Linked DNA regions of Arabidopsis thaliana. The protein of the gene in region 1 interacts with the protein of each later gene in a pairwise test. Each region holds a gene or a part of one and is shown in the gene's direction. Other genes may lie near its edges. The genes, in order: AGL87 and ARF11.

Region 1 (4,572 bases):
TTATGACTTGGAAGTCTTGAACATTGAATGTTCTTTAGAAGGCACTATACCGGTGTACCGGTGTTTCAAATAATGTCTTAAGTTTTAGTGGAAATTTATTTACTTCCCAAAAATGATCTCTAACTATCTTAAGGAACAACCATGCAGATAAAGAATTTTAATACTAGTTTATGTAGAGTGTTTCATATGTATTTTTTTCCGTCATCATTAAGTTCGTAGAAACTTCTTTTGCAAGTACGAAATTTTGCAAGTACGCTACACCAAAGTATGGGTTTGTCACTTGGTTAATGATGAAAAACAGGTTAGCAACAGGGGAAAGGATGTTTCAATGAAACCAAAATGCAGATCAAAGCTGTGTCTTATGCCAAGATCCTTTGGAGACAAGAGAGCACTTGTTCTTCCAATGTCCGTATTCGAGAAAGGTGTGGGAGGAGCTGGCACGGGGGATCCTAGCAAACAAGTTCACTGAAAAATGGCGGGATATCATGAGGGAGCTTGCGAACAAAAACCGAGACACAACGAAAAGGTTTATACTAAGGTATGTGTTCCAAAACACGATACACTCTATTTGGCGTGAAAGGAATGATAGAAGACACGGAGAAAAACCATCAAGAAAAGAGAAATTTGTCAAGCTGATTGATAGAAATATGAGAAACCGCTTGAGCACCATAACAATGAAAGGGGAAGAAAAATACATTGGAGGACTTTAAGTGTGGTTTGCGTCACAACAAAGTCAAGGATAGATAGATTGAACCATATTTTGATTCGGTTTTAAGAAAAGTTTGCATTTCGATGTATAAACGTTTGCATTTTTTTTTAATATAATTTAACATTAGATTTCTAAAAAAATACAAAATTTTATCAATTTTAGGTGTGACAAAGTAAATTTCATCATTTTAAAAAATATTAAAAAGCTAATAATTATATCATTATATTACAAATCGTGTCACAAAAAACAAAAATCAACATGTCAAACATGAAAAAGCGTTACAAGAATAGTTTTTGCTCAATTGCTAAACAAACAAATAAATAAATTATATACCATACATTTCAATTTCACCATATATGCATATCTCCTCATTTTACAGAATCTTAAATGTAAAATTAATTTCATATTTAATAGTTTATAACACGCGTCACAAAATAGAAAGAAAAAAAAAACTAAATATTGCTTACTTAAAAAAGAGTTACGAAAATATAGTTTTTTCCGCCCAATTTTAAAATAAATATAAGATTATCCACCATTCATCTCATTTCACCACATATCCATATCTTCTCTAAAAGTTTTAGATCTGTTTCTTAGAGCGACATCGACGATGACAATGGCACCGAAACGATGTTTGTATGTATTGTTTCTAATAGTTCAACATGAGTGTTGGCGATGAGACTCTATCAATAGCCACACAAAAAATTACTGTCTAACTCTTCAAAATTTGTTGTTGTTGTTGAAAGTAACCCTTAATTTTTAGATATCTAACGTTTGTTTTATATTTTTTTCATTGTTGACGACAGTAAAACGAACGAATCTACCAAATCGGTCAGAGTGGCTTGCAGATCTTTAAGGAGTCCTTCCGTGAGACGGTAAGTTCATTAATCTAACTATTAGCCTATTACATTACATATATGTCCACGGAATTTCAATTGTTTGGTCTACCCATTCATTGTTTATTCTCTCTTGCTGAATTAGTGGTTTCTTTTTTTTTTTTGAATAAGTTTTCACTAGAAAACTTTGAGGAAAGTAGTTGAATTATAATTTCAAATATTAGATAAAATTCATTAACTAAGCTTCGATCATTATTCTTACATATTTAGCTTTTACATAATTACTTAATAGTATACAATATTACACACACACACCTCGTATGTGTGAAGTGAATCAGTGTGTATATAACTATACCAATCGAGTACTTTACAATTAGTAATCACAACAGCCAATGAGTTAATAACTATGTAACTAAATATTTTGCCTATTACTGTTCCCATATATGTTCTACCATATTAGAGAGTTTGACCCTTTTTTTTACAATAGACCAAATAGAAGAGAATATGATGTGTTGTAATTTGTAAATATTTACATATATGCACACCTCCTACATGTGTATATACTATAACTCATTAACTCTATTAAGAATAACTATTTTTACCATCAGAAATTACATACGTCAGTCAAATTTAAAAATCATAATCATAAAGGCCTAACACTAGAAAAGTTAAAATCAGTAATGTAATGAGACTATTATGACTAATAATGGAAGAAAATATTTAATACAATGTAATTAAATGTAAAAAGACAAAATTAGAGATACTCTTATTGATAATTACATAACTTTTATTACATATTGCCTTTTGTATATATTTTTAAATCTCACAGAGTTTTTCAACAATTTTTTTTTTTGTCCACGCATAGGCTTCTGTGATTACCAATTATAATGTTTAACTGACATGTAGGATAAATTAATTTCTTGTTGTCAGTAGTATAATAAAATTATGTAAAGAAAATGCATGTCTACAACATTACAAATATACAACTCATCATATCCTCTTTCTGATTGGTCTAGTGTAAGAAAAAAAAAGTTCAAACTTGTTTATATGGTAAAACATATATAGGGACATTAATAGGCAAATATTACCTTCCTCTTTTTACAGGTTCATTAGACTAACAAACACAAGACAACTAATAAAATGAAAATAAATTGATATAAATCTTCTTATTTAGAAAGCTTTTATATCTATATTTTCCCTTAAATCTTATATGTATTTTTCTGTTACAGCCTTCCTATAATTTGCTTTTTACATTTAAAAATACCTTTCTATAATTTGCTTTTTAATATTTAAATAATACCTTTCTATAATTTGATGAAACGTCTTTTGTGGACCTAGCCAAAATCAAAGTTAGAAACTCTCTATATAACATTTTACCCATCTAGTCCCTAAAACCACCCAAAATCCTCTTCTCTTCTTCATTTTTTTTTTTCACCATGGGAAGAAGAAAAGTTACACACCAATTGATTTCTGACAACGCCACTCGCCGAGTTACATTCAGAAAACGCAAAGATGGTTTATTGAAGAAGATCTATGAACTGACCGTTCTATGTGGTTTACCCGCTTGTGCCATCATCTACAGCGAATACAAAGATGGCCCTGAGCTCTGGCCAAACCTTAACGAGGTTCGTTCTATTCTTAACAGGTTAAGCGAACTTCCGGTAGAGAAGCAGACCAAATACATGATGGACCAGAAGGATCTCATGAACAAGATGATCCAAGACGCAGAGAAGAAGTTGGAGAAGGAGAAGATGCATACTCGTGCGATGAAACTTGGGTTAATGGCTGGGTCTAATGATCTAATCACCGATACTGATTGTTCGGAGGAACTGGCCAGAGCAGCTGATGTGGTTGATAAGAAGCTCAAAGCCATCAGAGAGAGAATCAAGGCTGTTGAAGCAGGAGCACCAATCATCAAGAGAGACTAGGATGATGTTTTCAAATAACTTCTTATCATTTTTATTTCATGGTTTTTAATTATTTTCAGATTAAGATGGTTTCGATTGATGGTGTTTAAAGTTCTGTTCAATGATTTGCTTTTGCACTCTAGGAAGGATTAGGAGAATGATATGAATCTCTTTGGCCTTTGTATGGTGTAATATGATCTTTTCAGTTTATGACCAGATTTGTTTTATATTTTAGGAAGATTTTCTCCCTTATATGTTTGTTGTTTTAATTTTATTTCTATCTTTTTTAGTCAGCCTAATGTTCTATATGTTACATAAAATCTTTTGGCTTAATTTTTACCAAAGAAAACATATTATCTTGATTATCTGCTTTTCATATATCTCGCTTATAGTCGATGAATGAAAAAACTATTTCGCTTAATTATCTATTTTTTTCCGCTTAATTATCTATTTCAACAATCTATTGTATGTTCTATCCACCTCAGAAATTAATAGACAATCGATTGTAGCTAATTCAATAAATAATATATTTTCATGTATATCATTCATAAATGTGTCTGAAAGCCTAATCTTTCATTGGATACACAAATGATATATATGTCTGTTTTCAACTTTGATGCAAAAAATTTACCGTATTAAACTCTATTATATCGTTCAATTTTAAAAATCTAAATTACTCAAATTCAAAATTAATATTTGTAATTATTGAAAATGTCACATATCTGTCTTAGTTTGTTTAAAATAAATCAAACATATTAAATTAATTAATTTCTATAATTTATGTCTACGTAACTGTCAAATTATTATTGATTACATTTTATTTTAATTTGCAACAGTCTTAATTAATTGTTTGGCCAGAAAGGATAAATGTTTTTATGTAAATAATTTTTTTTATCAACTATTTCATAATTGTTTTTGTCATAAAGCAATTACCTTTCTGTTTAAATTATTTATTCATAGTTTACAACTTGTAGAAAGGCGACAGTTGTAAATTTTATGTCTTTTAACAATTTATATATATTTATCTAAATTTTAACACTATTAAAACAAAATGTTTTACTTAGATCTATTTATAACATTGATTTCCATTATTATTATTATATTAAATCGCATGACCTTATAT
Region 2 (5,740 bases), on another chromosome or scaffold:
TTTAAAATATATAAAAAGTCAGTATTCTTAAGTAGAAAGATAATAAATTTGTGCAATAGTAATCAAGATAGTAGATACGCCGTTGGAATCAAATCTTCTTTTCTTGAATGTGTTGTTAACTTAAGCCAACCATTTGATTCTCTTTACTGCAGCTATATTAATTATTAAACACCAATGCAATAACCATACATTTCTTCGTTTTATTTAGTCTGTATATTCGATCATGACATCATTCTCCCACACTTCCAAAAAAAAAAAAACAATTCGATGACGATATCTATATTAGTTGAGACATGCATATCTACAATACGAATATTCGTTATTCTCATTTACTGATGTGGCGATTATGATTTATGACTAAACGAGTGATTAACTATATACAAAAAGTAACAATTAAAACAAAAGTAATAGAAAAATATTGTGAAATGAAAATTCCAGTGTATCACTAATGAAGCAATTAAGAATAGAAAACTAATACTATAATGTTTATATTCCCATCCGTGCGTTTCCATTCACTTTAAGAAATGATCATATTCGCAACCAACAATTTGAAGCAAACGGTCCTCTACTTTTTATTGTTCGTTTTCTCTTTACCGAATTTTAAAATCACGTTAATTATCTGTATAACTACCTTTTTGCGTTGAAGTATTTACAACTTGAGTAAAATGTAGATTCGTATCAGGATACAAACACACAATAATACTATTCAGAGTTCTTAGTAAATTAGTTTCCTTTTGCAGCGATTTATTTCCGTCAAGTGTATAATATAGTTAACCAACATAACTTAAGTTAAAATTTCCCAAGTATAGATATAACAGAAGATCAAATATCGACTCGAAACTGAGTTATAATTAAATTAACACGTGAAAATAAATAGAAAAACAAGAAAATATCTCGCACGCTTTCCAAAGCCCTAGAACAATAACGTTCGATGGATTGGAAAAATCTCTGCTGGTACATTCACGAGCCAACACGTTTGCCTGCCACGTTCCAGACACAAGCTAGAAAGTAACGGCATCGTCAAATCTAACGAGACTCATCAAGGAACAATTTATAAACATCAATTTCTTTTTGGTTTCACACGCCTTATTATGGTAAGAAACTATTTTTGCCTATTGAATGAAAAAAATTGATAAGACATATGAAGGATGAGACCTAACTATAGTCTTAAGTACATAACATTTACTACTACTCAAAACCGTTGTCTTTAATTTTAACGGTCCACATTCGTTCTCACAATAATTGACCATACGTTTGTTTAAATACTTCAAAGGAAAGGAAAAACAGCAAGACGTTTGTGAGGTAATGGACAAACGACACGTAGTTTGAAAGATGAGAAGGAAGACAAAAAGGCATAGAGAGGAGGAAGAGAAGGAGCGGTTTCGTAACTGAAACTGAAAAAGCTTTAAGAGAAAACCCGGAAAAAAAAAAAGAGAAATATTTTAATCAATTCTTCTTTATCACAAAGAGTGCCTTTGTATTAATGAATTTTGATGTTGTGTAATGAATACAGACATAACCGTCGTGTCTCGTCGTTAAAGAAACGAGAGTTTTTCAGCTCTTTACTTACCTTTTCTTCTTACCCTTCTTTCATGACTCTTCTTCTTTGATGGGTTAATAATGCTTTGAGCTTGATGATTTCGATTTTAGTTTCCTGTTAGTGTTTGTTTTCTTCTGTAAAGCTTGGATTTTTTTTGGTTTCTTCGATGGCGAATGTGGAAGCTGATTTCAGAACATCAGGTGAGTTCAAATTTTGACTTCAATTTTCTCAAGTTTTGAATTTTCTTTTTCTCTTGGGAAAAAGTCAACATTTTTAACTCTAATCATGAGCCAAACAAGCTTAGAGCCACTTATAATTTCTATTATAAAGCTTCAAATTTTGCAACTTTGGTTGAAATTGATAGCTGTTGGTTGGAATTTAGGGTCTAATGATGATGAATTGTACACGGAGCTATGGAAAGCTTGTGCAGGGCCACTTGTGGAAGTTCCTCGTTATGGTGAAAGAGTTTTCTACTTCCCTCAAGGTCACATGGAACAAGTAAAGAATCCAAACTCTTAAGATTATTCCTTGTTTTGTCTTTCTCAAGTTTTAAGATTTGAATGTTTGTCTTTTGGCAGTTGGTTGCTTCGACTAATCAAGGAGTTGTTGATCAAGAGATACCAGTGTTTAATCTTCCTCCAAAGATACTTTGTCGTGTTCTTAGTGTTACGTTAAAAGCAGAACATGAGACCGATGAGGTTTACGCTCAGATCACATTACAACCAGAAGAAGATGTAAGTTTAAAGAATCTTGAATTAATGTGATAAATTCAGTGAATTTGATTTAGATTTTGTGTGTATTTTATTATGCAGCAAAGTGAACCAACAAGTCTTGACCCACCTTTAGTAGAACCAGCTAAACCAACGGTTGATTCTTTTGTGAAGATTCTAACAGCTTCAGATACAAGCACACATGGTGGATTCTCTGTTCTTCGTAAACACGCCACTGAGTGTTTACCTTCACTTGTAAATGCTTTTATCTTTCCATCTTCATTTTACAGAGTTTGGGCCTTTCTTAGCTGAATTTGTCACTTTATGTTTTGATTTTTGATTTTCAATACTTAGGATATGACACAACCTACACCGACTCAAGAACTTGTAGCTAGAGATCTTCACGGCTATGAATGGAGGTTTAAGCATATATTTAGAGGTAACAGAATCTTTAAGAGAGTCTCTGAAAGCTTCTTTTAAGAGTCTATTAAGTTTTGTCTTATTTGGATAGGGCAACCGAGGAGGCATTTACTTACAACCGGTTGGAGTACATTTGTAACCTCGAAAAGACTTGTAGCTGGAGATGCATTTGTGTTCTTGAGGTAGCTAAAGATCTTGTGTCTTTACTTTCGGGTTTTACTTCATGGGGTGGTTAACAAGTAATCTTCTCATGTTGTTTTTAAGGGGTGAAACCGGGGATTTACGGGTTGGTGTGAGGCGTTTAGCTAAGCAGCAAAGCACGATGCCCGCATCCGTTATTTCGAGTCAGAGTATGCGTTTGGGAGTTCTTGCTACAGCTTCTCATGCTGTTACCACAACAACTATATTTGTTGTCTTCTATAAACCAAGGTTAAGTTTTAAACTTTCTCCATCTTGTATAGGTTGCTAGTGGAAGGGCTTTAAGCTTGACATTGTCTGTTTTTTGTTCAGGATAAGCCAGTTTATAATTAGTGTGAACAAGTATATGATGGCGATGAAGAACGGGTTTTCTCTCGGTATGCGGTATAGGATGAGATTCGAAGGAGAAGAGTCTCCTGAGAGAATGTAGTTTCTCATTTTTTGCTTTGTTCACTTGTTGATTTTTTTTTTATGAGTCCTCTCTTGAATGTTGTTGTCTGAAATTTTAGAATGGTTTCTTCTTCAGATTTACAGGTACCATTATTGGCAGTGGAGATCTATCTTCTCAATGGCCAGCTTCCAAATGGAGGTCATTGCAGGTTTAGTGAATTGGAATCATTTTCTAGAGATGATATATATCATATCATTCTTGTTGCATACTTTCTGTAAAATCTCTTCTTCATATGTTTAGATCCAATGGGACGAGCCATCTTCTATACAGAGACCAAACAAGGTCTCACCGTGGGAGATCGAGCCTTTCTCACCATCCGCGCTTACACCAACCCCTACTCAACAACAATCAAAGTCCAAACGGTCCAGACCAATCTCAGGTATCTTCAAAAACAATCAACTCTTTTAGTAATTACTGAAACCGGTTCTAAGAGTTAACTAAGTTTGATGTATTGCAAGCAAGATCTCTGATACTTGATTCAAGATTATCTCTCTAATGAATCATTCTCTAGAGATGATATATCATATCATTCTTCTGTCCTGCCTTGCAGAAATCACAGGGAGTCCTGTAGCTTCTAGTTTCTTGAGTAGTTTCTCGCAGAGCCACGAGTCTAATCCATCGGTCAAACTGTTGTTTCAAGATCCAGCAACCGAGAGAAACTCAAACAAATCAGTGTTTTCAAGTGGATTACAATGCAAGATAACCGAGGCTCCGGTCACAAGTAGTTGTAGGTTATTCGGATTCGATCTCACGAGCAAGCCTGCTTCTGCTACAATTCCTCATGACAAGCAGCTAATAAGTGTGGATTCAAATATATCTGATTCTACCACCAAGTGTCAAGATCCTAACTCTTCAAACTCACCAAAAGAGCAGAAACAACAAACATCCACAAGAAGCCGAATCAAGGTAAAACAAACCATTACTCTTTTTACTAGAGAAACTCAATAACTTACAAATTTTTGTTATTTCTCAAATTCACCACTTTGTTTCTGTTTGTTCCTTTTAAGGTGCAAATGCAAGGAACAGCGGTTGGACGCGCGGTTGATTTAACATTGTTGAGATCATACGATGAACTAATAAAAGAGCTAGAGAAAATGTTTGAGATTGAAGGAGAACTTAGTCCTAAAGACAAATGGGCTATCGTGTTTACAGACGATGAAGGAGATAGGATGCTTGTAGGAGATGATCCATGGAAGTAAGTTTCTCTCAATCTCTTTCTTCAGCTTAAAGCTCTCTCTCGAGTTCTTAACAATTGTGTTTTGTTGACAAACTCTCTTGAATGTTGCAGTGAGTTCTGTAAAATGGCAAAGAAGTTATTCATATATCCGAGTGATGAGGTCAAGAAAATGAGGTCGAAGTCGTTGTTGGGTGATAAAGGTACGATCGTAAATCTTGAATCAGATCAGAGGACAGTTCACGTTTAACTATCAAGTTGTTGATTTCTTACTTTCTTGGAGACTCTCTCAAGTCTCACCAAGTCCGAGAGTTAGGTGGTTTTTTTTTTTTTGGTTTTTTTTTTGGCGTTAGGTGGGTTTGTTATTTACTTGTTTAACATAAAGACTATAAAATATACAGTTATTATATACGAGTATATCGTATTAGGTTTCAAACGACGTCGTTTATGTAAAGTGTTTGCTTTTCCGACGTGGCTTTCGTCGTCATGACTAATGAATGATGTGTTAGCAATAACTTAAAAAAGGTCATATTTTTCTAATGTTAAGATTTTGTGTGGGCCTAATAAGATCGACGATTAACATGGTAGTAGTAGGCCCAAATACTGAGGCCATAACATTTTTACTGTATAAAATTTCTTCTAACCTTCTTATTTATAGTCAGTTGACTAATTAACCCAATAAAAGACCTATAAAAGAAAAAGTGTCAATGCAATACACATGTTTAATAAAGTTGATCAAATAATATTAGTATGATAATATACTTGTTAAATGAATAATTAATATGTAAGAAGACAAATGGAGTTAACCTGCTCCCTTTTTATTTTGTTTTGTCACAACTCACAAAAGAACCTGCTCCCTTAATCTTGTGTTTCGCGTAACAAAAGACCCACCTCCCTTTTTTTGATTATTATTATGGACGTCTTATTGAACATTTTGACTTTTTTATTATTGCAAAAACCCTCACCTAAGACCACTTTCATCATATTTTAATAATTTTTCCTAAACTAAATTAATCATCATTATAATCTTAAGACTTGCGAGAACACACTAAGCTTGAGAAGAAATCATAAGCTCGGTGTCGGTGGGAATGTTTTACTGATCAAACTACATTTTGGTTTTGGGTCCACTTTGAGCTTTCTTTAAAATCGTTAATCATAATAAAGTCATTTGTCGGCAGATAATTTTCACGTCAGCTTCATAATTCCTTAATTTTAATTCGTATAATTTGATGAGATCACAAGAATTT

Evidence for each region.
Region 2: the proteins of AGL87 (region 1) and ARF11 interact in a two-hybrid assay, tested with the Arabidopsis thaliana proteins (one large-scale study listed by BioGRID).

The regions. Positions count from the first base shown.
Region 1 is NC_003070.9:7,980,533-7,985,104, forward strand, and holds AGL87 (AGAMOUS-like 87), read left to right. Parts: upstream 1-1,581; 5' UTR 1,582-2,978; coding exon 2,979-3,470; 3' UTR 3,471-3,775; downstream 3,776-4,572.
Region 2 is NC_003071.7:19,103,287-19,109,026, forward strand, and holds ARF11 (auxin response factor 11), read left to right. Parts: upstream 1-1,825; coding exon 1,826-2,038; intron 2,039-2,118; coding exon 2,119-2,274; intron 2,275-2,352; coding exon 2,353-2,505; intron 2,506-2,604; coding exon 2,605-2,689; intron 2,690-2,761; coding exon 2,762-2,852; intron 2,853-2,934; coding exon 2,935-3,099; intron 3,100-3,180; coding exon 3,181-3,294; intron 3,295-3,394; coding exon 3,395-3,467; intron 3,468-3,559; coding exon 3,560-3,698; intron 3,699-3,869; coding exon 3,870-4,225; intron 4,226-4,326; coding exon 4,327-4,514; intron 4,515-4,607; coding exon 4,608-4,743; 3' UTR 4,744-5,045; downstream 5,046-5,740. UniProt on the Arabidopsis thaliana protein: Auxin response factors (ARFs) are transcriptional factors that bind specifically to the DNA sequence 5'-TGTCTC-3' found in the auxin-responsive promoter elements (AuxREs). Could act as transcriptional activator or repressor.